3 linked regions of the Yarrowia lipolytica genome follow. The protein of the gene in region 2 interacts with the protein of the main gene of each other region in a pairwise test. Links are inferred from orthologs where the notes say so. Each region holds a gene or a part of one and is shown on either strand. Other genes may lie near its edges. The genes, in order: YALI1_D27762g, YALI1_E39676g and YALI1_A03356g.

Region 1 (9,763 bases), on a different chromosome or scaffold from region 2:
CGGTTCTGACGATCCCATTACTGCCGACGACCTCTTTGGCGAGCCCCAGTCTGTCCCGATCTCTCCAAGTGAGTTGTTTATGAGCAGCTCTTCTAACCAAAGTCCTAACAACGACTTTGAAGAAGAGGCACCCAAAAGCTCCACCTCTCGATATGCTCTCCCAGACGAGTCTCCTAATGGCTATCAGACCCAGTCGACCTTCAACTCGTTTGTGAACCTGTTTCGCCTCAAGAAGGATCCGCCGACAACTCTGCCACTGGCGTCTCTGACAAGTACGAGGGGTCATAGGATGGACACTCCAAGTCCAACGCCTCCAGAGGTAGCCAGACTGAGAGCCGTGCCCCACTCATCGACTTACTCGTCTGAGTCGTCGCTCAACTCATCAACAACCCGGATCTCATCCTCCAGGTCCTCCGATGACGCCTCCACAGTCGATGGAAAGACCACACGCGCTACCCAGACGGACCAGATCTACGCGGGAGACTCGGGAATCATTCTCTCGACTTCCATAACATCTTCCCAGAGCTCTCAAGAACACTTTCGAGAACGATGTCGACGGTCTAACTGTGTCACATATATTGTCCAGTGGGACACAGAGAACGACCCCAGGTACCCATTCAACTGGCCCAACTACAAAAAGTACCTGGTTGTTGCTTCCCAGGCCCTATCTGCTATTGGCCCGCAAATGTGCAGCTCCATGTACGGACCAGCCGTTGCAAAGATCGAAGAGATGTTTGGAGTCGGTAAAGATGTCGCCATGCTCAGTACCACCGTCTACATGATGGGTATTGCTGTTGGGCCCATGTTCTGCGCGCCCATGACCGAGTCATTTGGCCGGAAGATTGGCGTCTTCTGGCCCTTCTTCGTCTCGCTCATCTTCACCTTTCTGACCGTCTCCGTCACCTCCTTCCCCACCTTTATGGTACTGCGATTCCTCTCTGGAGCTCTGTCTTCGCCTCCCATCCTGTCGTCCGGAGGAGCTCTCAAGGATATGTTCAAGCCCGAGCGACGGCCGTACGTGTTGCTTCTGTACGCCATTATTGTCGCTGGCGGCCCAGCCATGGGTCCCATTCTCGGCTCTCAGGTCATCAAGTGGACCGGCGACTTCAGACACTTGTCGCTCGTGGCCGGTATCTACCAACTCATCATTTGCACCTCCAACCTCATCTTCATGCCCGAGACTTACGCCCCTGTGATTCTGCAAAAGATTGTGCGGAACTTCAGTCTGGATGCCGGCGGACTGAGAAACCTGGTGACAGAACGAGACCTCGGAGGCCATGCCCGTGGTTTCTCAGTCAAGAACCTGTTGAGACCCTACCAAATCATGCTCACCCCGGTCATGCTGCCGCTGCAGATGTACGCCGCCATGATGTTCGGACTCATGTACATGGCCATCTCGCTGGTGCCCAACGCAGTCGTCAAGGAACACAACTGGACCCGAGACCGAGCGGCCTGGATCAACCTCAACTTCATTGCCGGCCTCATATGCGCCTCTGGAGGTATCGTCTGGTCAATCTGGTACTTCAACCGGATGCTCAAGAAGCACGGAGGAAGCAATAAGGAGCCCGAAAAGCGGCTCCTGATCATGCTGCCGGGGTCCCTGTTCCCTCCTATTGGATGCTTTCTGTGTTACTTCTTCTTTGACAAGACCTGGGCAATTTCGGTCGTGCTGCTTCTGTTCCTCGGTATCGGATTCTTCACCATTTTCCAGTCCACCCTCAACTACGTTGTTGACATCCACTCGGAGTACTCGGCCTCAGCTGTGTCTGCTCTGACGTTTCTGCGGTCCATTTTCGCCGGCGTCTTGCCATTTATCGGCATGGCGGCCATCGAGCGGGTCTCTTTTGCCAAGCTGTGTTTCATTCTGGGCTTCATCACGACCGCAATGTGCGCTGTGCCGTGGTTCATTTTCAAATGGGGGCCTGGCCTGCGAGCGAGATCTGCTTTTGTTGACGTTTAGTGTCCAGCTAAGTAGATGTCAAGTGTAAGACGAAGACTGGTCAGAAAGAGACAGACGTTCTAACAAAACCCAACAAAAAACAACAAACATTAATCAACTGTGAAAATCCGCATAGAAACCAGCATAATCAACATAAAACATATAGCCCCAAATCAAATCAAATAGAATACTACTAGTAATACACTGTGAATTGTATTCTGGCTTGTAATATTACAAGAGAGAATAAATATACACCACTACGGTGTATATCAGTGAAGCAACATGTCTGAATAACTACGAGTAGTAGCACTGGTGGCTTGCATGGTGCTTGGATATCTAGATGGCCCTACGACACCAATTGTGCTTCCAGAGGACCGAAACTCCGGAAATCAATTGCAAAGAATCCTATAAACATTGTGCAAAAATCTGATGAAAAAAAAGTTCCTCTAAGCTGGTCGGTCCTCATCCCTCTTTCTCACCCCACGCCATCTGCATGCAGAGTAAATAGTGCAGAACCTCCGAAACACATCACACCATTCATCTCGCTCAATATTCCACCGATACGAATAAAAATTACACCATTAGAATTCTCAGAGATCCACCATGACATTGATACCCCCATACAAGTCATTACTCTGTTAATCACCCCCACACAGTCCGTCGTCTCTCGCAACTCTATCCCCATCTAACTCTTGACATCTCTTCATCTCCTAGCACCTTCCGAAGGCTTCAGCACCACCACACCATGAAGCGTGCTTTCGGTAGATTGAGCCCCCCTCTGCGTCATCTGACACAACCCCGCACCATGGCCACCACCGCGCGAACCACCACGCCTCTCAATCTCCAGATCGGCTGTTTGCAGCTCAAGCCCGAGATCGGGGAAGTCGACAAGAACATGGGAGTGGCCAACGAGCTCATCGACCGGTACTACGCCACTGCCAAGAAGGACGATAAGACCCCCAAGATTGATATCTTGATGCTCCCCGAAATGTCATTCACAGGTTACAACTTCGAGAGCCCCGAGAACCTCAAGCCATTCCGAGAAGAAACGGAGTCGTCCAAGTCGATCGAATGGGCTAGAGAGTGCGCCAAGAAGATCGACGGCCACGTGCTGGTCGGATACCCCGAGTTTAGCCCTCAAGACGATGCGACCTACAACTCTGTGTCCATGGTGTCTCCCAAGGGTGATATCCTCTTCACCTACCGAAAGTCGTTCCTGTACACCGCCGACGAGGCAATGGGCATGAGCGAGTCTCCCGACGGCTTCCAGACATACGGACCCTTCCCTTCTCTGTCTCAGGACATCCCTCTCAAGTTCCAGGTGGGAATTTGCATGGATATCAACCCCTACAAGTTTGAGTCTGCTCCTTCGGAGTACGAGTTTGGCAATTCAGTCAAGAAGAACAAGGTGCCTCTGGTGCTGCTCCCAATGGCCTGGACTCACTCCAAGTCTCCCTCCCTAGTGCCTGTCAAGTCCTCCGACAAGATCCCTATGACTGAGGAGCAGGAGAAGACCCACAGCGAGCTCCGAAACGCCATTGTGCATAAGTGCACCATGCTGCACGGCAAGTCCACCTTTGATGGACTCATCACCGAGCCCAAGGAGATCCCCAAGTACAAGAACGAGGATCTGGCCACTTTCCACGACTACACTGCCGATGTCGACAACAAACTGCCTTTGGTGGACACCCTGCAGTACTGGATCGAGCGTCTGCAGCCCGTGTGGAACCAGAACACGGACGTGGACTTCCCGGTGACCATGGTGACTGCCAACAGAGTTGGATTCGAGCAGGGAGACGTCCTGTACGCTGGCTCGTCCATGTGCGCGGTTATGGATCCTCTTCAGCAGAAGATTTTTCTGCGGGGAGCTCTCTCAGCCGCTGATGAGGGTCTCATGGTGTTCAATGTTGATTTGAGCGTTCCCAACTAACAGCCTTAATGACTGTCAGTGAGTGAGATGTGTGTTCAGGATGTGTTGCAACAACACACCATCTATGTATATATGATATTTTTTTGTTTCAAAGACGTGTAGCCGGGTGGCTTGGCTCTTTGCATATATTTTCTCCTCTTTTCCAGCAGTTTTTATTCTGAATCGACTTTTGACGTTGCTCAAAGAGCTAACATTCCTCAGAGGAATTCACATTCATACTGTGACTCAACTCTATACAAGCTACTGGAAACTAAAGAGATGATGTCGAAAAAACCTGTTGAAAGTGGATTTACGACATATAGGAGAATTGATATGGTCATCTAGACACTCTATAAGCCCTTCAATCCAACAGAAACTCACTCACACACACTCTCTCTCTCTCCGAGGTCAATAGGCCAATATGACAGGTGACGAGCTAAAAACGCAACAGTCGCGAATATTGCTGCGATCGAAAAACAAACAACACCATTCGACTCACCAAAACCGCGCGAGAATTTCCATATCGACAATTGTTTCCTTGCTAGCTGCCCAGATACACGTATTATCCCACCACCGGTTTGCCCCACCAACCTAAATCCTAACACGTACGCATCAGCAGCAGTACACGCTAGACTCAACCACATCACTATACACACAAAATGGTGCTCTCTACTCTGATTATGCGGGCCTCGGATGGCCTGCCTCTGTCGGCCAGCGTGGATGACGGCCAGGAGAACCTCAGCGAGCAGAAGAAGCAGTGCAAGCTCGTGACCCAGAAGCTGTCTGCCAACTCGGCCGACCGAGCCTCGATTGAAAGTGGCAACTACGTGATCCACTATCTGATGAAGGACGGAATCGTTTACTACTGCATCTCCGAGTCTTCGTACCCCCGCAAACTCGCCTTCAGCTACCTAGACGAGCTGGATCGGGAGTTCCAAAAGTCCCATGGCCAGGAGGCTCTCAAGGAGGGGGTGCGACCCTACAAGTTTGTGGAGTTCGACACGTTCATGCAGAAGACCAAGCGGGTGTACCAGGACACTCGAGCAACCCACAACCTCGACAAGCTCAACACGGAGCTGCAGGACGTGACTCGAGTCATGACCAAGAACATTGAGGATCTGCTGCACCGAGGCCACTCGCTGGATCACATGAGCGATCTTAGCAGCAACCTGCGGACCGAGAGCAAAAAGTACCGACGGGCTGCCCAGCGGATCAATTGGGAGGCCATGATCCGACAGTACATTCCCTTCATTGGAGTGGGTCTCATTGGTCTGTTTATGCTGTGGTGGATGCTCTTTTAAACAGGGGGACGCAGATGAGTCAATCATTTGGAAGATGGATGCCATCGACGACAGCCACGCCCGGGCTGAGAAGCTGTACTGAGGCTGTCTCAGCTCGCTGTGAACGGCTCGCTGAACGGGATATTGCTGGAGAAGCTGGATTTATACGATAGTAATATATTGATTGGGTGAGTTGCTACTGGAATGATTGGGAAAGCAGTACATACTATTAACCTGAAAGCAGTACATACTATTAACCTGTCCTTGCATGTCTCAAGAGTACTGGAGCTAGTTAGCTTCTGTTTTTTTAGAAGTATACCAAGGCTTGAAAAGCGCGAGTGTCGCTCGAATGTACTGTGTGAGTACAGAAGCTGCAAGATACAATGATTGGCGTGTATCAACTTGTTTGATTCTGTAATCCTTCCACTATTATCAAGGTCTTTTCATTACTAACCAAGTACAGTATATACATTGCAATTACTGTATCGTACCTCTACTGTAACCCATCTTACTTCCATATAGCCACTTGCTCAAACTCGTTGATTTTTCTGCCGATCGCGTTCAATGTCAATATATCATCTCTTCAAGGGATATATTACCATCCGTCACGCAATCTCTCCACTCCATTCAACGGACTCCTTGGTATGCCCGCTGTCTTAATTAACTCACACCAAATACCCCAACCCCAACTCGAACACACGCCTTCCTGATTTCAAACCCTAATGTGAAATTTGAGTGTGTGGTGCTCAGCGAGGTTCTCACACATACCACAACTTTTTTCACACATTTACACGACTAAAGATGCTAGCAGTCAGCCGAGCCAGCGGATTCCGAGCAGCCCGAGTGGTTCCTGTCCACGTGACCCGACAGCAGGTACGACACAACTCCGGCGGCCTCAACTCTCTGTGGTCGTGGTTCAAGCGAAAGGACGCTTCCAAGAAGGAGGCGGCCCCTCCCGTCATCAAGACCAAGGATCTGGTCAAGAACATTGAGCAGCAGAGCAAGGCTGGCTGGGAGTCTACTGCGGCCACCGAGCAGAAGACCGAGTCCAAGGAGGAGCCCAAGTCTTTTGCTTCCGAGACCGCGGTTGATCTGGAGGTGATCGGCATGCCTGCCGAACAGCTTCCCCTAAGCTCCGAGAAGCTTGCCGAGATTGGTCTGGGCAAGTTCCAGCTCAAGCAGGCCGAAATCAAGCCCGAGGCTGCCCTTGAGGCTCTCAAGACCGTGTCTGCAGCTGTTGTTGGCGGAATGGAGGGTGCTCTTGACACTCTGGAGAAGCGTCTGGAGCTGGTCAAGCAGTTCCAGAAGGAATCTGGTATCCGAATCCCCGATCTCATCATCTCTACCGTTGCTACTCCTCAGGGCGTTGCCTCCTACCTCGAAAAGTCGCTCACCTCCAACTTCAACTACTGGGAGCCCAACGCCATTTACCTGGACGCCAAGGACTTTGAGGGCTCCAACGTGACTGTGGTGGATGCCCAGCAGCTCCGAAAGCAGCGACAGCAGGCCATGGACGATCTGGTTTCTGAGGCCGAGCAGTTTGTCGAGCAGCATGATAAGGAGACTTTCAAGAAGGCTCTGGAGTAAGAAGCGAATATCAGTGGGACACATAACATCATTCGCGTCGCCCATGATGTTGTTGGAGGGTACACTAAATGGATGGTGCTATCACCTACAGACTGAGTTATTTGAAGGAACGGTATCATAGGACACATCAGCCTGCTGATGGGAAAAGGACGAAGGATCACGCGGGATCGCAAGATGTCCACGGACAGCTGTAAATAGTGAAATTAAAATGTATATATTGACTGTTGGTACAAACACCACTCGAAGACTTGTAATGATATCAGAGATCTCCAGATACAAGTTCTTGCACCAAGGCATGGCATGCGATAAGGAATGGGATAAGAACTGGGAAAGAGCGTATGAAGAACACTATATATGATGGAGACTATACCGAGGCAACTAAAAATGACCACTTCTGGTTTGAAGCATGGAAAAGCTGCCTCGATACTTGAATGGCTCGTGGTTGGACAAGTCCTCTGAGACGGAGAATTCCAAAGAGATCTTTCCACTCTTTACCCTGCCAAAAGTGAGGATCCAGAAGTCCAGTTAGTCTATCAATAGGTTGGAATCTCTGTTGTGACCTCCTCGTAATGTCTCGATGGTCGGTGTGAACACCGTCGTCAAAGATCTCCAGGAGACAGAGAAACAAGTGCGATTCCTGGGAAACTGTGGAATGTGTAGAGTCAAGTATGAGTACTGCCGTAGAGACACATAGATGCAGAATCTATGTAGATGTTCTCACGGAGATATCTTTGGACTCAGCCGTAGTTCCCTACTGTAGAGCATGTTGAGGGCACTTGAGACGACACGATACATATTGCGATGTCGGAACGAAAGAGTTGCAACGATATACAGTAGTTGGAACGAAACGAAGAATATAGAGATTCAAAAGAACGGTATATAGAGGCTCAAAAAACCGATATATAGCTAGTAATATAATTAAAATCACATAATCACACTGTTTTTCCCCCTAGACTGGTTTACTCTTTCGAAACAGACAGAAATGACCATTCTCTCTCCCTTAAGCCCTTCTCTCTTCTCTAAGCCCTTCTCTCTTCTCTAAGCCATTTCTCTCTTCTCTAAGCCCATTCTCTCTTCTCTAAGCCATTCAATCTCCTCTAAGCCATTCAATCTCCTTAACAATACTCCTGACTAAAACCTCCACTTTTAATTGGCATCTACTGGCCTGTCCTGGACCTACCACAATTGCAACATTTACGACGCAAATGTTGAAGAGATATACGAGAATTACAGATTCGACTGAACACCAAAAAACAACAACAAAAAGAAAACAAAATCTCCATTCGTCACCTCCATCACCATTCCACTCCACAGACCAGTCTACCAGACACATTTCACCCAACCCTAACCCTATATTTACCTCTGACGCGTATCTTTTTGTGTGTCGCGAATCTTTACGAAATACGACCAACGACCGTTTCAAGCCCCCTAAAATGAAGAGCGACCAGTTAGGCCGGGTGTTATCCGACGATGGTGAGTATTACGGGTTTTATCGCAGCGACAATTCGGAAAATGGAACAAAATGGGTCTTGTTACCATGATAAAAACGTCTAAGAACAATTTCTGGGCTGAAAGTGTTCATTAGGTGGTGGTGGAGTGCTATTTCTAGACAGTGGGTGAAGACATTTGGAAGTGGATTTCTCACTATATTGAATTGGAGTGAACAAAGACAATCTGAGGCAACGGTGACAACAGTGGTTGATGATAAGGAGATGGTGTGTTGAGTGGCAAGACAAGAAGGCTAGACGTTCAGTTCCCGTTCGGCTTTGTTCAGTTTCCGTTCAGTTTTGTTCAGTTTCTCTCAGTTTCCGTTCAGTTCTGTTCACTGGACTTGACCAATGGTAACCCTTCTTCGCTGTCCTCCATGCCCAGGTCTACTCTATCATTGATTCCTCTTCCACCAGTGTTAACCTCTGGAGAATGGATCAACGTGAGGATCTCAATGACTGAATGGAAGCTAGTCCACCAGACCAAATTCGCTCGCTTTTACACCTGGCTCGACTTCACAGTTGATCCCGACTATCATCACTACCTGCAGCCACAGTCACGTCTGAGATGACAGCAAGAACCTGCTCCTTATCGTGTGCACTCTGGGGTTTTTCTTTCATTCATGTCTTGCCAACTGACTAATCCCGCGGGTGTCGCTTCTTGACGTTCTCTACTAACCCAGACCTACCCACCAAGCTCTCCATCGCCAACGAATTCAAGGCGTTCGTCAAAAAGAACAGCGTGCCCCGTGATCTCATACACCCCTACTTTCTCACACTCTCTCGAGCCATCAAGTCACGAGAAGATCCCCAACTCACCTCCGTGTGTTTCTCGTGCTTCTGCCACCTCTTCAAACGGGTCAGTATCCAGGACAAACAGCTGCTAGATGACTCAGCAACGGTAGCCGTGGTGACAGACCTACTCATTGACCGTCTTAGCGACAGATCCACGGGAGTTCGGGCCACAGCAAACAAGGTGCTTCTAGATTACTGGGTTCTCGTCCCACAAGCCGTGGCCGTAGCAATGAGGCAGAGCGCTGTCGTGAGCTCAAGCCACGTGACCCTAGGCGAGTCTCTCAAGTGGCTGCAATCCGTCTTTGATCTTTCTTCGGCCTTCAACTTTTCAGCTTTTGTTCAGCCCGTGGTGGACATGTTACGATACCCCCAATTACAGTCTTCCGTGTGCGAGTTGCTGAAAAAGGTCTACTCTGTATCTGACAGAAGGGAGCTGGAGGAATGCCTGGCTGCTACTGGTGTCAACGAGATGCTCAAGAAGAGCATTCTCAATGGTTTGCCAGGTGGTAACAGTTCCTCAGCAGTTTCTGACCCGAAAACCACTGCACCAAGAAGCTTGAGTTCACAGAAAAGCGTTGCTTCAAAACCTGCACAACAACCTAACTCTCAAGAACCAGGAAACGAAAATGCACCTTCTTCGTCACTTGCATTTCTGAACAGCCTACCAAACTTCAGAGTTGACTCGTTAGCTCCTGAGAATGTCTACTCTGCCTCAGATCTAGAGTCCAAGATCAACAACATGCATGTAGCGTTTGCCGATAAGGAG
Region 2 (9,950 bases):
TTTCTGGCTTATGGTTTAATTACTTCTCCTGTTTCAAGGGCTAGTCTCATAGGTACAGCCCCATGGGAAGACCCGAGCATTGTCAGAGCTACTTGTAGCTGTGTTTTTAGCTGTAGATAATGTCTGCTCCAATTAACCACTCTCCAAAGTCTACACAGTAGGATTACCTATGGTAAACGTACGCTCTATTGTTACAGTAGTCTGCTTACTGGTACCGATACCAGTCGAATTTACTGTTTATATTACAGTCATGGTAAACATGGGCTACATCGACAGCGACATTGCTTGTAGCTGCTAATATGGCTCTGGCTTTTCGCAGTTTCTCATAGTCTACAACCTCTTGTCTCTCCAGTCCTATATTTCACATTTATTGTACAATATATCTCCTCTGTTCCGTTACAAAATGGGCTGAATACACCGAAGTCACTCGCTACAATAATACATACTTTTTGTTCTCAGTTCATACACTTCAACAAGCGTTTCATATACAATTAAATGACATTCATAAGGGTGAACAGACCACTTAGGCCTTATCCTCCTGCTGGAAAGCCTGCTTCAGAAGAGCCTCCTCCTCAGCAAGATGCAGCTTCTTAGTACCGGCAGCAACAGATGCAGAAGGCTTTCGGCCAGCGTATCTAATGTGGGCATGCTTGTGGTTCTTGGTAGCCTGGAAGGTGGTGTACATTCGAGGCTGGATGTGGACCCAGGCACCAGCGTTAAGAGGCTCCTCCTGAGCCCAGCAGATATCCTTAAGGTTGGGGTAAGAGTCCAGAAGCTCTCGGACCTGCTCCCAAGGGAAGGGGTGCAGCTGCTCGATTCGGATGATAGCAGTCTTCTTGTCAGCAAGATCCTCTCGTCGCTTGAAGAGAGCAGTCCAGACCTGGCCGGAACAGAAGAGAACTCGCTCGATGCCCTCCTTGTTGTTGATGGTCTTGCCATGCTGGTCGTCCTCAATGACCCACTGGAAGTGAGACTCACCAACAAACTCAGAGAGGTCGGACTTGGCCATGGGGTTTCGCAGCAGGTTCTTAGAGAAGAAGCAGGCCAGAGGCTTTCGGAAAGCTCGGTGCATCTGTCGTCGGTACAGATGGAAGATGTTGGCGGGGGTAGTGGGGTAAGCAATCTGGATGTTGCAGTCCTGGTGCTGTCGCTCAAGCTTATCGGGAGAGGGGAAGTGGAGAGGATCCTCGTTTCCGAGCAGCAGGTATCGCTCAATTCGTCCGGAAGAATGCTCGGGACCCTGTCCATCGTATCCGTGGGGCAGAGACAGAACCAAGCCGGATCGCTGAGACCACTTGGTCTCGGCGGAGGCAATGAACTGATCAATGATGACCTGGGCAGTGTTGGCGAAGTCACCAAACTGAGCCTCCCAGATGACAAGGGCCTCAGGAGAAGCCAGGGAGTAACCGTACTCAAAGCCCATGACACCGTACTCGGAAAGATGGGAGTTGGAGACGGTGAAGTCGGCCTGATCCTTGGTCAGGTGGTTCAGAGGAACATATGTGGTCTCGTTAACCTGGTCGTGGACAACAGCGTGTCGCTGAGAGAAGGTACCTCGCTCGACATCCTGACCGGAAAGTCGGACGTGGTGGCCCTCCTCAAGCAGAGTACCGAAGGCAAGAGCCTCACCAGTGGACCAGTCAATGCCATGGCCCTCCTCAACGGACTTGCCTCGGTTGGACAAGATTCGCTTGAGGTTTCGGTGAAGGGTGAATCCCTCCGGAACAGAGGAGATGACCTTTCCAATCTCCTTGAGCTTCTTCTCCTCAACAGATGTGGGGAGATGGGGCAGGATCTCGGTGGCAAGCTCCTTGGGGGTCTTGAAGTCGTCCCAAGGAGAAGCGAGCCACTCCTTCTGATGGGGCACGTAGTCCTTGGACTTCTTGAAAGACTCCTCGAGCATTCCCCAGACCCACTGCTTGTGCTCCTCAATGTCCTCCTTGGTAAAAGTCTTCTCCTTGAGAAGCTTGTCGACATAGATGTCAAGAGGGTTGGGCTTGTCGGCAATCTTCTTGTACATGAGAGGCTGAGTGAACGAGGGCTGATCGGTCTCGTTGTGACCGAACTTTCGGTAGCAGACAAGATCGATGATGACATCGGACTTGAAGGTAGCTCGCCAGTCAGCAGCCAGGTTGAAGATGAAGTCGACGGCCTCCATATCGTCAGCGTTGACGTGGAAGATGGGGGCATCGATGGATTTAGCCAGATCGGAGGGGTAGGGGGTAGATCGGGAGAATCGAGGATCGGTGGTGAAACCAATCTGGTTGTTAACGATGATGTGGATGGTTCCACCGGTAGAGTAGGCAGGCAGAGAGTGCATGCCCATGGTCTCGTAGACAACACCCTGGCCGGCAAAGGCAGCGTCACCGTGCATGAGCACACCCATGGCCTTGTCGAAGGTGCCGACGTCATGCTTCATGTGCTGGATAGCTCGGGTCTTACCCAGGACAACGGGGTCCTCAGCCTCAAGATGTGAGGGGTTAGCGACAAGAGAGAGGTTGACCTTCTTTCCAGAGGGGGTGGGTCGCTGGTAGTTGGCACCCAGATGGTACTTGACATCTCCAGAACCCTCGTCGAAGACAGCAGATCCCTGGAACTCAGCGAAAATGGACTCGTTGGGCTTTCGCACAACGTTGGAAAGCATGTTGAGTCGACCTCGATGGGGCATACCGATAACAATGTCCTCGATTCCGGCATCGACGGATCGGTCGATCAGAGTCTTCATACCGACAACGACAGTCTCGGCACCCTCAAGACCGAATCGCTTGTCGTTGGGGAACTTGGAGGCAAGGAAGGTCTCGAAGAGGTTAGCCCAGATAAGTCGGTCGAGCATTCGTCGCTTCTGGTCAGGGGTGTAGTTGTAAGGCTTGGGGGTCTCGACTCGGTCTCGGATCCACTCACACTCCTCTCGAGAGGGAATATGGATGTACTCAACACCGTAGGAGCCACAGTAGATTCGTTCACAGTCCATGATAATCTCACGGAGAGTTCGCCTGTTCTTACCGTTCTCGACGAATCGGGGGAGGATACCGGGGCCGAGAGTGATCTCGGTGTCGAGATCCTTGTCGGTCCATCCGTAGAACTCGAGGGTCAGCTCCTTAGGGGGCTTCTTGTTCTTGTCGGAGCCAAAGGAGATTCCAAGAGGATCAATCTTGGCCTTGGTGTGACCTCGGACCTGGTAGGCTCGAACCAGCAGCTGGGCCTTCATGTGGTTGGTGATGTCAGAAGGAGCGCCGGAGGGGGCAGCGGGGGTGGGAACACCTCCAGAGGGAGAGGGCACAATAGTGGGAGGGGCAGAGAATGCCTTGTCGGCAGGAAGGCCACCATCCAGGTTCTTGAAGTAAGACTGAGTTAGTATAGGTCAATTGCGGCCGTGCTTCTGGTTGATACATTTGCTGGGTAGGTTTAGTTGGGATTTAGTTAAGTCAGGGAGGCCTAAATTAAGGTGCAGTTGGGACTTGCTGGGGCAGGAGTTAGAGATAAACACCAAGCATGTGCAAAAAGTAATGAAACTAAAATCCAAAAAGCCCAGGAATGGACAATTGAGGAATAGTCAGGTGGGGTATGTCAAAAACACGTCCAGAACCTTTACTAATCACACACGCCGGGATCTCTCTCGGCGCATACACCTGTTAGTCCGTTCCGACCAACAATTCTGCGTCCTGCATGCACGTTTTTCCATGCTCCGGCTCAACCCGTAACTCCCAATGCGGGAAGACACCCTGAGTCTAGTGGTGGCAACCGCAAACGAAGGGCAGGTCTAGTGTGCAGAGATGCAGAGGTACTGAGCCAATCGAGAGACATACAAATTGCTACAGGCAGGCGCAGAAAAATGCAACAGCAGGTCTCTCAATTGTGCTAGCTAGTGCATTCTGGAGCAAGGAGGAAGGGGTCAACCATTCGTAGGTGTCGTGTCAACAAAACGACTTATCTGTACACTCTCACTGTATCCGTGATACAGTTCGGTTGCAAATAAGCCACTTGCCTCCATGACCTTGGGCCCAACTCCATCACTTCACACGCCAAGTGTCGAATGTCCACCAAAACAACCAAAAATAACCATCACAAGTCGTAGTACAAGCCATCAGCTTCCGATTCCTCCACTATCACTCACCTGCCAAGAGACGTGGACACTCTTGGGGTCGTCCTTCCATGCGGCATACATCTCATCGATGTAGTTTGCGGCGTTGGTGGTAAGGAAGACGTCATCAGAGTACTTTCGTTTCTGGATCAATGGCACGAAGGCCTTGCGACTTGTGAGTCGCGGGAGGACGGGGGTCCTTTTCAATAAAGCGTGTCTGAGCATCTATTTGTTAGCGGGATTTAATCATGGGTTCCAGACCCTCTCAAATCGAAACAAACGAATCGCAAGCGATTTTTTCCATCAATTCCACTCCAGCGGCCACAAATGTCGTAATTGGCCGTCTCCGCAGGTATCGTTTCGACCGTAAGTACACCCATTGTACTACTCACGTTAACTCGTTATGGGGTAAGTTGTGGAGAGCGTCAAATATTTATATAAACCGGAAGAACCGGCCCCAGTTTTACAGTTTCTTGTGAAACTCTATTTTTCCAGCGGCCAGCACCCGGGATAACTCTGCAGAATTTTCCGGACCAGACCCGTTGAGCGCTGTGAGGGCATAGCTGTCTAACTGACCCCTCTAGCCTTCTCCCGAGCCCCACTTGGCGATATTCCGACGGTTTCCGCCGACTTTGCTTCACTCCCTGTTATGCAATGGCAGTGTGTCTCCTTCAAACATGGTAACAAGGTTGCGCCCATAACTATACTATAGAGCAAGTTGCGGAGATAGCCATTGGCCAGCTTTGTGTATTTCAGGTGGTTTAGGAAGAGTACCAACGCGTGTGCGATGGGAAAGATAACGCCCACGGTGTGGATTGTGTTACCAGGTGCTACCCCACAGTTGTGCAATGCAATTGTGCGGCGAAGGATTATCTTGTACAAGTGTATTGCAGCACGGCTTTGTATCATGGGATGTAACGGCACGCAGCATGGAAGCGCAGCGGTGTTCTCTTTGGCCCGACCAGTAAGGACAATGTAAGATATGTAAGTTGAGATGTGGGAGTTTCTGGTCACGTGATGCGGAGAAGTTCGGAACTATGCAGTCTATGCCCCAACCAGAGGCTTGGCTACAGCTAAAAGGGAATATTAAAACTCGTCCAGGCTGTAAGGGGGGGCGGTTAGGTGGAGTATCGTCGGGTTTTTGGGACTCTTCTACGGTGAAATCTGTATCCCATCCTGTAGTTGCTATTCCGAGGTTTGCTATAGTGCGAAGAGAGTAATACGTGATTTTGAGACAGACTCGTTAGAAGAGAACTATGATCACCCGTGGACAGATGACACGTACATGCAAGATAGCTTTGAGGATAGAATTTCGGAAAGATGCGGGGGGACCAGTTGACGACAAACTACACCCAACGATCTTTTAGCCACAAGTAGACGGTGGCATTAGCTACATATTCTACGGGGGGGGAGCAATTGACCTGTCCCCCTGCTATTTTCACACTACAGTACGTTGCTATAAGTTTTTTATAGCGTTACTACGAGTACATACTGCAGCGGAGATAACGGCAGTAATTTTGTTCGTATTTTAAATGAGCACTGCACAACTGGACCAAGTACTTGTAGGAGATCCGAAAATATCCCTCAAACGGACGTTATCCCCTCGGAAACAATTTCTCCAAAAAACTTACCGTCATTAGTCAACAGTATTTCCGGTTGTTATTATTGTTATTTACCCCAGATGTCAGAAATTCAACATTTCAAACACACTATTTTCGACTCCTTATTACCCGATTTCAGTTAACAGCTGTCTGTGCTTCGATAGAAACTCTCTTCGGCTCTGAGGCTCTGAATAGCACACTTCCATCATGTACGATCACATTCGAAACTCGTGTCTGAAAGCATATTACCCTAACCCTTGACATACAGCGAGCCTGTCTGTCTGGGACGTGATAGTTTTAGATCTTGTTGCCCCCCAACTACTTGTACTTCAACAACCCCTAGTCCAAGTATCTAAAAAAACACACAATGGACGAAGACTCCCCCGCCCCCTCTCTCCAGAACATCATTGACCAGGACTCTCTCCGATGGATCTTTGTCGGTGGTAAGGGAGGTGTTGGTAAGACCACCACCTCCTGTTCCCTTGCCATCCAGCTGGCCAAGAACCGAGAGTCCGTTCTGCTCATCTCCACTGATCCCGCACACAACCTTTCTGACGCCTTTGGCCAGAAGTTCGGCAAGGACGCCCGACCTGTGAATGGTATCGACAACCTGCACTGCATGGAGATTGACCCCAGTGGGTCCATTCAGGAGATGATCGAGCAGGCCCAGAGCGCAGGAGGCGCTGGAGCCGGCATGACTAACATGATGCAGGACATTGCCTTCTCTATCCCCGGTGTTGACGAGGCCATGTCCTTTGCCGAGGTCCTCAAGCAGGTCAAGAGCACATCCTACTCCGTCATCATCTTCGATACTGCTCCCACCGGCCACACTCTGCGATTCCTGACCTTCCCCACCGTTCTGGAGAAGGCTCTGGGCAAGATCTCCGAGCTTTCCGGCCGATTTGGCCCCATGCTTGGCTCTCTGATGGGAGGCCAGGGGGGTCCCTCTGCTGACGACATGTTCGCAAAGCTCAACGAGACCCGAGCCACCATCTCTGAGGTCAACACCCAGTTCAAGAACCCCGACCTCACCACCTTTGTGTGTGTTTGCATTCCCGAGTTCCTGTCTCTGTACGAGACAGAGCGAATGGTCCAGGACCTGACCTCTTTTGACATTGACACCCACAACATTGTCGTCAACCAGCTGCTGTACCCCAAGAAGGGAGACGACTGCGAGCTCTGCTCCTCTCGATACAAGATGCAGCAGAAGTACCTGGAGCAGATTCTCGATCTGTACGAGGACTTCCACATTGTGCGACTTCCTCAGCAGACCCAGGAGGTTCGAGGAGTCCAGGCCCTTGAGAAGTTCAGCAACCTGCTTGTTCACCCTTACCAGCATATCGAGAACTAGAGCGTGAGGAATTGAGGGAATGTCATAGTTCCACTGGTGGTGTAATTACTGTAAGTAGTGGTAGATTAATAAAGATTTACAGATTGGGCTTGCATTGTAACCTCTGAGGTGTGTCACGTGGATTAAGAGTACAAGTACGCGTATGTACTGTTACAAGGGGGGTGGTGGAGGTGGAGGCGTGTGTATACGGAGGATGGTCACGTGACTGTCGTCGATCGGGTTTTTGTGGCGTTGCACATAAAAGAACCTCATGTTATTTCCGGCGTGAATTTAACGAGTATTCAATGCCCATGTCGTTTAACGTGCAGAATAGAATTTTGGTGGGGTTGGTGGGATATCTTGAACACAACATATCACTGTCTGAAATCGGATGAAAACGAGCCAGAGAAGCCGGAGACATACCCGAACCACTCACGAAGCGTTCAGATTCGTATACTACTTGTCAAATCCCCAAATATCACATTTACTAATCCCCTACTTGTACACACACCCCTTTGCTCCATTAATAGACACTTCAGAGTTCAGATTCATGCAGGGTGTGAATGTGAATGAGCCGAGGTGAGATCGGAGTGTGTCATATAGAGTGGTAGAGAATTCTGCTAGCGAAGAAGTAGTTACTCGAATCAATTCTGACAGCTCTCATGACTACAGCGCAGTCAAAACTTTTACTCCTAATCACATACCTTTCCTCAATCCTAAGATTACTCTCCATGCGTGATCCTGCCAACTGCTACGTGTAACAACCTTGAGACGCGTCAGGTAGTGGCTCGATACTTCCAAGAGAGGGCCAACCAGAGAATAAACGAGTGAAATTTCAAACAGAATAAAAGAATGGCTCGATACGAGCTCACATACACGAAACGAGCCCACAACCCTGAAACGAACCTCCCCACACCTCTCCACATACACGTTTGCACCGTAACTCACCACCACTTAACTTCTCCACGTCAACCCTATATCACCATGTAGCTACCTGTAGAGTTTAGCCAACTTTTGCAGTGTCTGACGCTCTCCATCCCTCAATCATGTCGAAAGAAAAGAACTGGAAAGGCACCACGCCGACCACCAAGTCGGACGCCCTCAACAAGCCGGGCACTTCTCTGCTCAGCGTCAACGGCAAGTATGTTGGCTGGGCCCACACCATTGTCGCCATGTCTGCATTTCTGGGAGCCCTCATCATCGGCTGCGCTCTGCACTACAAGAAGATTGTCCAGAACGAGCACTTTGGCTACCCCGACGAGTGGTTCCCCAGTGTTTCAGCGGCCATTGGTGACCGATACCCCGAGCGATCTGTGTTCCAGGTCTTCATTGCCATCACTTCTGGCCCTCGATTTGCCCTTGTCATTCTCTGGTTCCTGCTGACTGTCGCTCACCGACCCCGTCTCTCCATGATGATCCTCATCTCCGGTCTGATGCGAACCCTTACTTGTGGCGGTTGGACCTATGTCACCTCCACCGACGACCACGACTGGCACGACATCTTCATGATCTCCTACATGGTTCTGACCATCCCCTGGACCGTGGGATGCACTCTTTGCACTCGAGACGCCAATGCTCGAAAGTGGAGAAAGATCGTCGCTACCTGCTTCTTCGGATCAATCCCCCCCCTCATCTACTTCTTCATCCAGCACAAGGTCCACCATATTGCCGGTGCCTACACCACCTACGCCTTCCTGGAGTGGGCCCTCGTCATCTTCGACGTGATGTTTGACGCCGTCACCGTTCTTGACTTCTCTGCTCTGGAGCTTAAGGTTATCGATGCCAAGGGAGTCACCGCCGTGACCGAGCCCAAGAAGGTCCTGGCCACCGCTGGCTTCAACTTCTTCCGATTCTCAATCGACGTTGCCAACGCTACCATTTTCTGGTCTGTGCTCACCGCCCTGCCCCTGCTTATCTGGTACTTCCCCCTGTGGTTCATGGGCATCTCCGGCTACGAGGCTCTACTGGTTTCCATCTGCGCACCCGTCATCCTCTACATTTCTCCCCTCCGAAAGTTCTTCAACCTCGTCCCCCAGCTGCCCCTGCTGCTCGGTGTCACCGGAATTGCTGCGTGGTGGATTCCCGGTCCTATCCCTCGACTCGAGGCTGTTGGCTTCGGCGCTGGTTTCTGCTGCATCGCCATGGCTAACACCTTTGCCAACTCTGCCTCTCGACCTCTGCTCGGCACCTACAAGGGATCTGCCTTCATCCTGGGTCTGATCATCACCTCTCTTCTCAAGTTTGCCCACTGGACCAACAACCCCATCTGGCCCATCATGCACGAGGCTAACGGAGGCTGGAATACCGCCGGTGTCATCGTGGGCGTCGCGGCTGCCCTCCTGGTGTCCAAGCCCCAGAAGAACTCTGCCCAGGTTCCCGTCCATCCCTCAGAGACCTCCATTGGCGCCGCTTTCGGTGTCGGTGGTATCATCTTCGCCCTGCACTCTCTACTCTCCGATACCTCAACCATCATTCTCTGGGTATGGGACGGCTACCCCGTTAAGGGTCCCGTTCCCGTTCCGTACGGAGTTGTCACCATCCTGGCCATGTGCCTCGGTGTCTGGCTCGGAACAAAGAAGCTTGCCAATGGCTGGATCCCCTTCCTGGCTTCTTGCGTCGGAACAACTATCCTGTACAGTTTCCACGGATGGATCGGGTACGCTGGAGGTCTCACCCTGACCGTCTACCTGTGTGCAGTGGCTCCCGCTTTCCTTGAGAACCTCGGCCGATACAACTCCGGTACCTGGGGTCTCGCCATGCTCGTAACCACGCTGCTGTACCTGGCCCATGTCTGGATCGTTGCCTATGCCTTTGTTCCCGGAGGACCTGCTCTCCGAGAACGAACCGACTACGTTCTCATTGCCCAGCAGCTCTCCATTGGTCTCGGTGTACTTGCCCAGTCCAAGATCAGCAACACCAAGAACAACACCAAGTCCAA
Region 3 (11,067 bases), on a different chromosome or scaffold from region 2:
CTCCTTTTCTTACGATGAAATAGTTTACGCCCAAAAATGTATCACCAATGATTTTTACCCGACGAGCAGCCGACCCCTGCTGGAGCGACCCAGTAGATTGCGACCTTTTGCGAGCAAGCAAGATTTACGAGAACACAAACCACGAGAGGCCTCCGAGATCCCCGCCTTGTCACATGTCTTTTTCCTTTCAGTCCATGAGCGCAACACCGAAGAAAACAGAGCGACTTTTTGACAGCCAAACGAATCTTTAGCGACTTGTTTCATGTTTGAATGCTTCTCCCTGTTCGACGTTACGCCTCTCCATTTGTATTGTGATACCCCCTCCCTTGTATTTGTAGAAACTGTCACGTAGTTTCCATCCTACGTAGAGTATGTACATAGATAGTCCCTTTTGTTTCAATTTAGCTACAAGTTACGAGTACAAGTTCTTCCTTGTACTTATCCATTCTGTCTATACGTCATCATATCGTCATTAAATTTTGTGTGGAAGTTCGCTCTAATTACCTCCTCAGGACGTATCCCTTGATCTTTGCGAGACCGTGGTTAATGTAGTCTCCTGCCTGATTGAGCAGCTTCCATACTCGTTCTTCGAGCTGCTCATTGTACTGTTGTGTTTGCAGTCGAGTGTGGTGATTGTGTTGTCGTTCAGTGATGAATTGATATTTGAGCACATCCTTTCGGGAGATAAGACCCACCAAACGTCCTTCCTTGACTACCAACACCACCTTAGGGCCCATCTGCAGGAAGATTGACGTCACGTTTTCAAGCGGAGCTAGTGGTGCCACTGTCAGCGGGCATGTGTTGATACTTGGTCTCATGTCGATGAATGCTTGCGATGACTGTCTAGCAGACTCGGGAATCTCTCCAAAGTAGCATTGGACCTGTCCGAGCTCCGATGAATGAATGTCGCGGTTCAGAGCCTTGAACTTTGCAATCAACCGAACAATCTCCTCCTTGGCAATGTATCCCACTAGCATGGGAGGGTCCTCCTTGCTGGATTCAACCACCGGGTAGCCCTGGAAGGGGTTCGATTCGAGCAGAGTCTCGACCTCCTTGAGAGTGATGCTGTCGTAGGTGAAGTAGACGGCATTTTTCTGCATTGCCTTTGAGACGGGTGCGTTGAAGGCATGCTCCTCCTTATTGTCAATGAATGGGAAGCCGTTGAACCAAATCATCTGGTCAGCGATACCTCCCTTGCCAAACCGATCAGAGATAGCCTTGGTGATTCCAACAACAATCATGGTAGGCAGAATGTATGTCAACGCACCAGTGAGCTCAAACATGATGACCACGACGGTCACGAAAATGTTGGTGATTCCAGACAATGCAGCGGCAGCACCAAGGAAGGCGTACGCGCCAGGAGTGATGCAAGGCTGGTCAACGACACATTGGCTGAAAATGATAGAGTCGGGCCGTGCCTGCTGCCAGTACTGTACAATGTTTCCAATCAGTCGTCCAAAGGTAGCTCCAACGGCCATGGAGGGCACAAAGATACCAGCAGGCACCTTGCAGCCGTATGAGATAATAACCAGGAATGTTCGGATGACGCAGGCAGCCAGGAGAGATAGCAGCATGGTCAAACCCTGTCGGTCGGGCTGGCAGAGATCGTGGTACTTCTCCCATCCATTCTCACATTCGTGGAACAGGTTTTCCATAGCAGCAGTCATATCAAGGCGCAAAAACTCGTTGGAGTAGCAGATTAGAGCGGTCAGGGACGCTAAGAGAGTAGCTTCCTTGACTGCGTACTTGCCGAGGTATCGCTTTCGGAACGACTGGACTCTCAGGTTCCATTTGCTGACAAAGATTCCGTACATACCTCCAAAGACTCCAATGATGGAGAAGAAGAAGATTTCGAAAAAGTGCCAGTCCCGGTCGTACTTGACCTGGAACATGACGAGCTGGCCAGTTCGGAAGGGGTTGAACGCTGCCAGCACACCTGTGGCTACCAGAGCACAAAAGTACGATCGCCACATGGTTTTCATCTGGAAGTTGCTGGTGATTTCTTCGAGAGAGAATAGCACGCCTCCAATAGGCGAGCCAAACGCCACAGCCACACCTGCAGCCGTACAGGCCGAGTATATTTCTCTCATTTTCGATTTGGAGTTTCGGTACCGTCCAAAGAGCGAGGCAATCACGTGGCCGGCACAAACGGCGTAGTGGACACTGGGCCCCTCTTTTCCGACGGACAGACCAGACGCAATGGCCAGAGGAAGGCCAATTGACTTGAGCAGCAAGGTCCAGGGGCCTAGAAAACCCTGCATGACGAAACCAGCAACAATGCACTTGATTTCTGAAATGCCTGAGCCAGCAGCGTAAGGTGCGTAGGTCTTGACGAGGAAGGCCGCCAGGGCGGCAAATCCGGCAGCAAATCCCACATAGACAAAGTAATTGAGCAGTCCAAAGCCAGTCCAGGACTGCCATGCCGGACAGTGGTCTCCCTCGGTGCCCCAGCAGCAAAAGTCTTCATTCAGATAGAATCCTGTAGAGCAGTAGCCCGTTTTGAGGTCGGCGAGCCACTCGGTCGAAATGTTGAGCACGGCTGCTATAGCTCCGATAGCCATACCGATGAGGGCCAGTACCAGCCATGATTGAGCTGCCGTGTAGACCTCATAGAGCTTGTGTCGAATTCGTCCTCGGGTGTCGCTTGACCCTGCTGCGACTCGGGACGCCGGTCGGAACTTTTCAATCGTCAGGCATCGCAGCATGTTTTCTCTGGCAGCCACATCTACCCAGTCGATGGTCGAGAAGTCCTCATATCTTCTGACCTCCGTCACGTCCGAGATGTTCACCGAACGTCTATGTTAGCTTGAGTCGGGTGAGCCGTTTTGTGCGCATGGTACTCACCTTCTGGTCATTTTGGCCGTGATAGTCGAACTTGTAGATTGATAGTTGTCTATGCATGAACTTTGATGTGGTGGCTGAAACGTAGAGATTGAGTGAGACTGCAAGTAAGAGTGTAAAGTAGAACAAAAATAAAAGTGGGAATAATGGAGCTGTTTATATATTTGCAGATTGAGAAATCACGACATTGGTCGTGTGCTGGGGCAGATACAAGTTACACAAACACGTTTCCCGAATATATATAGATATTAGATCTCCCACCTATTGAAGACATTTGGAAAATCAATTTCGATTCCCAACTGTACGTGATTACCTACGCCAACACGTCATGCAGCACGATCAGCCATAAAGCCAAACGCATCAGTTCCAACTAATACGAACATTACGAAGATGAGCCAGGACGTGGAAATGAGAGATAGCGAGGAGGTGGAGACCGTGGAGGAGACCGTGGAGGAGACCGTGGAGGAGACCGTGGACACTCACGAGGCCCAGGAAGAAGAAAACAACGCGCAAATCAAAGAATCCGGAGCGTCCACAGAAACACCAACAACTGCCGCCGACAAGACTCCAAACATCAAGCTGCCTCTAGCAAGAACCAAGCGAATCGTCAACCAGGACGATGACGTGTCGCTCGTGTCTGTGGCCGCCTATGCCGCCATCAACGCGGCCACCCAGGACTTTGTGCGGTACCTGTCGGAACAGGCTGGTCTCATGGCTCGAATGGACCAGCGAAAGACGTTGGCGTACAAGGACGTGGCCGAGGCGATAGCTAAGAACCCCAAGCTCGAGTTTCTGCAGGACATCATCCCCAGAACCATTCCTGCGCGATCACTTCAGTCTCGAGGGGTCCAGGTGCCCAAGGAGCCTACAGGCAACATTTCGCTAACCAACTTCTTCAAGCCCAGCGGCGCCGGGGCATCGGCAGGATCCAATGCCGGCACTGGAACTTCTACGCCGGTGAGAGCAAGCACAGCCACCAGCACCCCTGTTCCTGAGGACTCTGTGGAGGGCTCTGCTGTGGCCATTGAGATTGATTAGGGGTGTAGAGGTGTTCACTCGCACGTAAAAGGATGGAATGGGAACCCGGTATATATACATTAATATTGGCATTTGATATGGGGATGTAGATGGGTGCAAGTGTAGGTGTTTTGGTGCGTTGGGTGTGAACGTGATGGAACCGTGCGAGGTATCAGGGATGTTTTTACGGTACGTACATGTTATTACTCGCGTTTTGCCTGTTCTCACAAGCATCGGTTTTCAAGTGAGTCTTGCTGTCTTCACAATATACGATACTTCTCTTCCAGCCAGTCTTGTTTCTGGTGAAGTAAATGGAGTTTTTTTAGTTGGTCTGATTCCAAGTAAACTATGTAATTACTTAGGCCTATTGGACGTTTGGATGCAGAAAAAAACAAAAAACAGTATGATGTACTTTTAGAGAGGTGCTGAAAAGTACAAGTACTGTAAACGCACGAAGAACATCTTCCTTCCGCGGTTGGTTCAAAGAACTGGAGGAAGCCGTTGCAAGCATCTTCAAAGTCTGCACTTACTCAGTTGGGGTTCATTGACTGAACATAGTGAACCCATTCAGAGTGTGTAATGTGAGGCAACCGATGAGAGCGATGAATTTACGACGATTACCGCCAAGAATCAATTCAAGAAAGATTGGAAATATAACTTTTCTTCTCATTTCGTCATTCTGTTTTTTTCTTTTTTTCTTCCGTCTTTCGTCTTTCGGTCTCACCTCATTGCTCCATCTCCAGCTCTCCAACTGCCTCCTCTAACTTCATTTTATTTTGTCACTCCATTTCCCAGTCAAATTAAGTTGCTTCTAATGTGACAAGCCCAACGTCCTAATCTTGATAGCCGAACATGGATTACCCCCTATGTTTGCAGCCGGATGGACGAGACGATGACGTCATTGAGAAAGACACTGGACTGGAAGACTAAAACTGCGATGCAGACAACATTCACAACCGTTCCAAACAGATAAGTCAACGCTCCTGTCCTCTCGAACGACGTCCCGCTCAGCTCCTCTCGTGTTTTTCCTCCCATGTTGTGTTGTTCCGCAACTTTATTTGGTCAGACAACCTCCCAGTGACCAATGGTTCTTGAGACGCAACTCTGAATCAGCAGGTCATGGGTGATGTCAGGAATGGGACTTTAAGATGGTGGCGATGGCGGTCATGGTGGTAGAGACGGAATCTCGATAATGTGAAGAAAATGAGATGGACGATTGTGCAACTTAGCATCCCCTTATATACTTTTATCAGCGATCCCTCTACCACATTCACATGGTAACAGCGAAACCCAACATCTACACTCCACACACGATAACCACAACACACCAGCATGGCCTTTGCAGATATAGCAGATACCACACGATAACGAGGACACTCGGTAGAATTTCAGCATTTCATACTGACATCCCAGCGGAAATCCAGATCTACATCCTCCATCAGTCAAACTCCGCCCATGCTCTTGTCACCGTCATTTGTCGTCGTGTTATCTACATGGTGCTCGTGTCACCGGCCAGACTCGTGGATCGCACTGGCCTGTCAGTCGTTCGATTATAAATTTATTACACTCTCGTGCATGCACTTTTATATCCCTTAACCAATGACCAGAGTCTCGGCGTCAGCAAAGTCGTACTCGGGAATCTCGAGGTTGAGAGGAGCGGGGCCTCGTCGGATTCGGCCGGAAATGTCGTAATGGGATCCGTGGCAGGGGCAGAACCAGCCGCCAAAGTCTCCAGCCTCACCAATGGGCACACAACCCAGATGGGTGCAGACTCCGATCATGACCAGCCACTCGGGCTTCTGCACTCGCTCGTCGTCAGTCTGGGGGTCTCGCAGGGTAGCAACGTTGACCTCGTTGGCCTCTTCAATCTCTTCGGAGGTTCGGTGTCGGATGAAAATGGGCTTTCCTCGCCACTTGATGATGACGTTCTTACCGAGGGGAATGGCACCGAGCTTGACCTCGACCTTGGCCATGGCCAGAACGTCAGCGGAAGCAGACATGTTGGAAAGGAAGTCCTGGACGGTGGCCTTGGCGCCGGCAGCGGAGAGCATGCCAAACGATCCAATCATGAAGTAGGAGAAGAGACGGTTGGCATCTGTGTTTCGGTCCTTCTTGAGGTAAGGAGTGAAGTCGGGGATCTTGTATGTGGACTTGCCACCAATGGGCTGTGAAGAGACAGATCGGGTCTGAGCAAAGGCCTTTGCGGCCACAAGAGGAGTGTAGGCCTTGGGGGCCTTGACGGCCTGGGCGGCGGTTCGAAGCAGGCTCATTGTTCAGTCGAGGGTGAGTGTCAAGAGAGGTTGAAGTGTGGTGTGTGCTTGACTTGGGACCTTACGTGCAAATGTTAGCTTTTGCAAAAACTCCCTCGCAGCGCATATTTCGCCACTGTGATTGGTCCACCCGAGCCCCTACCCTGAAAACCTTAATTTGTTTGACCATTGGGAGAACTCCAAAAGCCATTGGGAGGTAAGGCCATCTCTAAAGCTGCAGTCGGTGTATGGATTGGCAAAATGACGAGTTGCCAAACAAGGCCAAAAATGCACAAATCTCGACGAGTTTGCTTACTTAATCGAGAATAATCGGCCAATTATCCCATCAAACCGGCCAGATGTCTCCTGTTTGTCGAATTGACCGAATTGAATGCACTCCCTCGGCCGCATTATCGTTTCGCTTTTGGTTGGCTGATTTCACAGTGCATTGCTGCCTGCTTTGTTCCGACCCCATACAAAGCGACAACCTTAATCGCGTCCCAACGGTCGGGGGTTCGATTCTTACGGGGGACTTTGACACAGTACCCAGTACAAGTAAATTGACACAAGAAATATAAATACTACAGGATATAAAACTACATCCTAGCAACCATCATGACAGTCAAAGTCATCGGGAATAGCACCGTATTCGTCACTGCTACTTCCACCGCCAGTCACACTGGAACCGTCATCATCCTCTGAACGATCAAACGGACGATATCCGTCAACCAACCTCATTCTCCAAGCCACACTCCAATGAAATTTGGCACCCATAGGAATGGTCCGTGCCCGACCGTAATTGGGAACTGCAACCCTTGTCCATTTCTCTTCCTCGTTCTCAACCCGGTAAGCGACCGGCATGGTTTCAAGAAACCACCAGAACCACGGTCTCCACCAAGGATCTTCTCCACGACCGTTTTCTCCCTGACGTCGAAAGAGATTTAGAGAGTCGTGCATGGGTGCAATAAGACACTCTTCGGGATCATGGTTGTTTCGAAATTCGTCAATCACTCCCTCCTTAAAGATCACCTTAAACTTGACGCTCTCGGAGAGAATCCACGCCAGAGGAATGTCAGAGAGCAAATGTGGTGACCCTCGAGGTAACCATCCTCCCCCTACGTCACCATGGTCACCTGGGAACCACAACTCCACGAGATCTCCTGATCGCTCCGGTCTATGGCGTGTTTTCTGTGTCCCAATCATATGAGATTGTTCAGAGTGAGCACGGAACATGTGGGACAGTTCTGAACGGCTGCTGCAAGGAAATCGACGTCCTGAAGCCGTGGTTCGAATTGATGACCCACTTGCAAGAACCGGTGTGCTCGCACTGATAGGGACAGGAGAAGTAGGGTGTCTCAGTATGACCATCGATCCTTTGGGTGTATGCTGCCGACTCTCAACAGGGCTGACGCGGACACTGGAAACAATACTGGTCTGTGGGCTTGCCTCAGGAGTCAGTTCAGGGCTCTGACGCTCGGCAAATATGCCGGAAGGACCAAAAAGTGTTGGGTTGTAGCAATGAGGGACAAAGAGGTTCTGTTTAAACTTGGCTCGTCGTTCATCAATGCCGACAGCATGTCGAATGTGGTGAACGATACCCGCCGAAGAGGTGTAGGGGAACGAGCGGTCCAGAATAATGCCACTGCTGTTGATGGAGTCCCACAAACCCATGAAGTAGACGCACACAGAAGGGACACTGAATGTCGACTTGAAAGAGCATGCCAGGTTGGACGTCTTGTCTTCCATAGGCTGACCAGCTGCTTCCCACGTCTTGTAGATTTCCCACGCGCAAGGTACCAGTTCGTTCTGGCCTGGAGACAATAATCCGACTCGGTCCAGCATACCTGCGAGGATTCGAGCGGTGAAGGCACCTCTTGAGAAGCCGTACAGGTATATCCGGTCGCCATGGCAATGGTGTTTCATCAAGAACATGTAGGCGGCAATAATGTGTGCATCAAGGGACCAGGCTATTCCAATGTCGACAATTTTTTCTGCGTATGAGTATGCTGCTGACCAGATGGTTTTGGGCAGGTCGACGGTGATGTGGGTTCCGATTCCGGGCTGGTAATAAACCAATTGGTTGGGTGAGTCCTTTTCGAGCATGCGGAACAGCTTGAGGACGTTGGTTTCGGGACCTGCTCCGAAACTGTTGGACGTGCCATCCAGGCAGAGAATGATGTTTTTCCCCATGCCTGGTCGAAGCCGATTGTTGGTGGGTATCATATATCCTCGGCGTATCCTTCTCCACCCAGTGAAGAGCACTGAAAGTGTTGTTGAAAAGAAGAGGTATTGTTGTAGCTGCCAGACTGTGTTTTGGTATTGTGTGCGGGATGGGTATATCTTGTCAGGTGAGGACAAAAAGGTGGCAGGTGAACGCTGGAGATCACCAGAAACACCAGAAACAGAGGAGAATAAACGTAACGCAGTAAATGAGAGCAAGAACAAACAGACTCATTCTGGCGCGCGACGTGAGGTGGGTCCGGGTTTGTGTCTCCACAAGTGCCGGCTGGTGGTGGAGGTATCAGAAGGGCTGGTGTTCAGTGTATCGATGAGACCGTGGCAAACTTGCTGTTCATGAGATGATCACGTGGAATGCTCAGTGGTATGAGTGGTGCGAATGGTATGCAATGGTATCAATGATGTGATATGGGGAGGTGGCTTGCCTAGTGTATATTGTTGTATGTAGTGTACTGTACATACTGAGATAGTTTTACAAAGTTTGGAGCATCGAGTTGGCTGAATATGATCCGATAGAAAGCATTTTATGGGAAGCCAGAAATGGCGGGAAAAGTCGGAATATAGCCGGAAAAGACTGTTTTGTGTCGAAAAGTGCATTTTAATGATACAACCACGAGCACAGTACTCGTACTTCAAGGGGATCTAATGACCCTCTACTTGACACCCCCCTAACACTCCATAAAAACATATTAACGAATTTAAAAGCTTAACTATACTGGACTATCTCCGTGCATGGACATCAGAGAAGTTGCAAATATTCCCATCCAACATTCAGGAACCCAGAAATGATTGAAATCACTTGCAACGATCGGTGAGTATCTATTTTTCCTGATCTACCAACATGTCTAACACAGTGTGGGCAAGAAGGTGCGGGTCAAGTGTCTACCTGAAGACACTATTGGCGACTTCAAGAAGCTGCTGGCAGCCCAGATCGGAACTGCTCCCGAGAAGATTGTGCTCAAGAAGGGATACCAGACCTTCAAGGACCATATCACTCTGGATGACTACGAGATCCACAACGGATCAAACCTGGAACTGTGAGTACGAGAGGAGACGAAGGGTGAGTGAGAAGCGAGAATGAGCTAACCCAGGTACTACGCCTAAGAGAGGTGCAACAAATACGATGACAAGGACCAGTTATCGAGTTATCGAGACACGTGTGGAGCGACATTGTTAGCAGGTTTCGCGCTTTCGCTTTCCGCCGCACGTGACATGAACATGGATCATAATGTATAGTGTCACTCTAGATCGCAACACATGGGCTTAGTGCTCAGCCGAATGGGGCCTGTGGATCAGCTACAATTGGCCTATGAACAGAAGTGTGTGGTGCCCCATCGAATTGAAGATTCGACGTTCGAAAAATATAATAAATCAAATCCAACTGTATTGTATCTATTCTGCGTGGAACTGGACAGTATTTCAGTTTTTAGCCAATTTCTCGAAAAACAAAACCAGACTCTAGATGTAGAAAACAAGCGATTGAAAGACAAATGTACACATACAACAAGTTCTGTCTTTTGGAATAAGTTCGATGAAACAAACCACTCTACTCCTAAGTACACCATCTAATACTTACCACCACCGTCACGTTGACTATCACTACACCGACCTACATCAACTACTAACTCCCACCGTTCTCAATCATCATGAATCATGCTCAATATATACAATTTTCGCCTCCTCTGGTTTCGACTCGTGTCCAGTCGCTCATCCTTCAGGTTTGTGTGTCACGTACCGACACGTCTCTTACTCTCGATCGATCCAGTTCTTTCGATCGGGGGCATCCTCCTCGGCAACAGGGCCGGACTTGACATACTCGTTCACCTTCTTGACGGTGAGCTTGGGGTCGAGGGGACCCGAGAAGCCTCGGAAAGAGTTCTTGATGGGCTCCAGGGTGGGGGACACAAACGGCTTGAGCTCACAAGCCTCCAGACCGGCAGGAACGACAAAAGTTCGGACCTTGTCTCGGTTGATAATGAATCGACCCTTGGAAGTGGTCTTACCGACTCCACCGGCTCCATGGCCCTTGTAGAAGTTCTTGTTACCCTGCTTGGAGGTAAGGGGCAGTCGCTTGTTACCGTTTTTCGACACACCGTAGAACAGGTTGAACATGTACCCGGAACGGTCCTTCTTCCATGGTCGCAGCAGCTGGGTCACAAACGAGGGTCTCATTGTGTGGAGATGTTTGTGTTGTGTGTTGAATGGTTTTTGATGTCGCGGTGATGATTTGGGAACCGTAAAATTTCACTCTCACGTGACGGGACAAAATAAGCTTGCTGGGAGATGATTAATAAGCTTGAAGGATGGAAGCAAATAAGGTTCTCGTATCGGAGATAGGAGATAAGGGAAATTGAAAAGATGAAATGGCGGGAGCGGAGAAGGAGATCAAGGGTCGAATTTTTGAAGAAAATGCGTGATGGGAATTTGTTCATTGAAATGTCACATTTTTTGTGGTTATTTTGGTATCAATTTTAGAGATGTTTATTCCTTGTTGAGTATTCCAGTTGGAGGCTGAGATGATTCATTGGAGACAAAAAAACTATGAATAATTCTTTACATAGTACTGTATATTACTGATTTTACCCCTTTACACAGTTTTTATCTCTTTTTTCTAGCCTTTTTCGCCGGATATTTGATCATTTCCACTGTCTTATAGTCGATACAACTCTGGGACCCCACCATTCGGGCGGTGGTGTAGTGGAAATATCTGCCTTCCCAAATT

What was found.
Region 1: the proteins of YALI1_E39676g (region 2) and YALI1_D27762g interact in binary tests that used the Saccharomyces cerevisiae proteins (3 or more experiments, as listed by UniProt). The link is inferred for Yarrowia lipolytica from reciprocal best matches to the Saccharomyces cerevisiae genes GET3 and SEC22.
Region 3: the proteins of YALI1_E39676g (region 2) and YALI1_A03356g interact in binary tests that used the Saccharomyces cerevisiae proteins (3 or more experiments, as listed by UniProt). The link is inferred for Yarrowia lipolytica from reciprocal best matches to the Saccharomyces cerevisiae genes GET3 and GEF1.

Annotation. Positions count from the first base shown.
Region 1 is NC_090773.1:2,770,893-2,780,655, reverse strand, and holds YALI1_D27762g (uncharacterized protein), read left to right. Parts: upstream 1-4,507; coding exon 4,508-5,149; downstream 5,150-9,763. Other genes in the region: YALI1_D27808g (uncharacterized protein), read left to right, coding at 1-1,960; YALI1_D27780g (uncharacterized protein), read left to right, coding at 2,685-3,869; YALI1_D27765g (uncharacterized protein), read right to left, coding at 3,885-4,047, 4,095-4,189; YALI1_D27748g (uncharacterized protein), read left to right, coding at 5,930-6,715; YALI1_D27718g (uncharacterized protein), read left to right, coding at 7,921-8,188, 8,886-9,763. UniProt on the Saccharomyces cerevisiae protein: Nonessential SNARE involved in targeting and fusion of ER-derived transport vesicles with the Golgi complex as well as Golgi-derived retrograde transport vesicles with the ER.
Region 2 is NC_090774.1:3,963,708-3,973,657, reverse strand, and holds YALI1_E39676g (uncharacterized protein), read left to right. Parts: upstream 1-6,049; coding exon 6,050-7,033; downstream 7,034-9,950. Other genes in the region: YALI1_E39693g (uncharacterized protein), read right to left, coding at 524-3,346, 4,115-4,306; YALI1_E39656g (uncharacterized protein), read left to right, coding at 8,059-9,950. UniProt on the Saccharomyces cerevisiae protein: ATPase required for the post-translational delivery of tail-anchored (TA) proteins to the endoplasmic reticulum. Recognizes and selectively binds the transmembrane domain of TA proteins in the cytosol.
Region 3 is NC_090770.1:327,311-338,377, reverse strand, and holds YALI1_A03356g (uncharacterized protein), read right to left. Parts: upstream 2,706-11,067; coding exon 501-2,705; downstream 1-500. Other genes in the region: YALI1_A03351g (uncharacterized protein), read left to right, coding at 3,232-3,879; YALI1_A03322g (uncharacterized protein), read right to left, coding at 5,451-6,128; YALI1_A03300g (uncharacterized protein), read right to left, coding at 6,711-8,330; YALI1_A03289g (uncharacterized protein), read left to right, coding at 9,131-9,156, 9,200-9,382, 9,437-9,449; YALI1_A03278g (mitochondrial 54S ribosomal protein mL41), read right to left, coding at 10,092-10,517. UniProt on the Saccharomyces cerevisiae protein: Anion/proton exchange transporter involved in iron and copper cation homeostasis. Involved in intracellular iron metabolism during growth on fermentable and non fermentable carbon sources.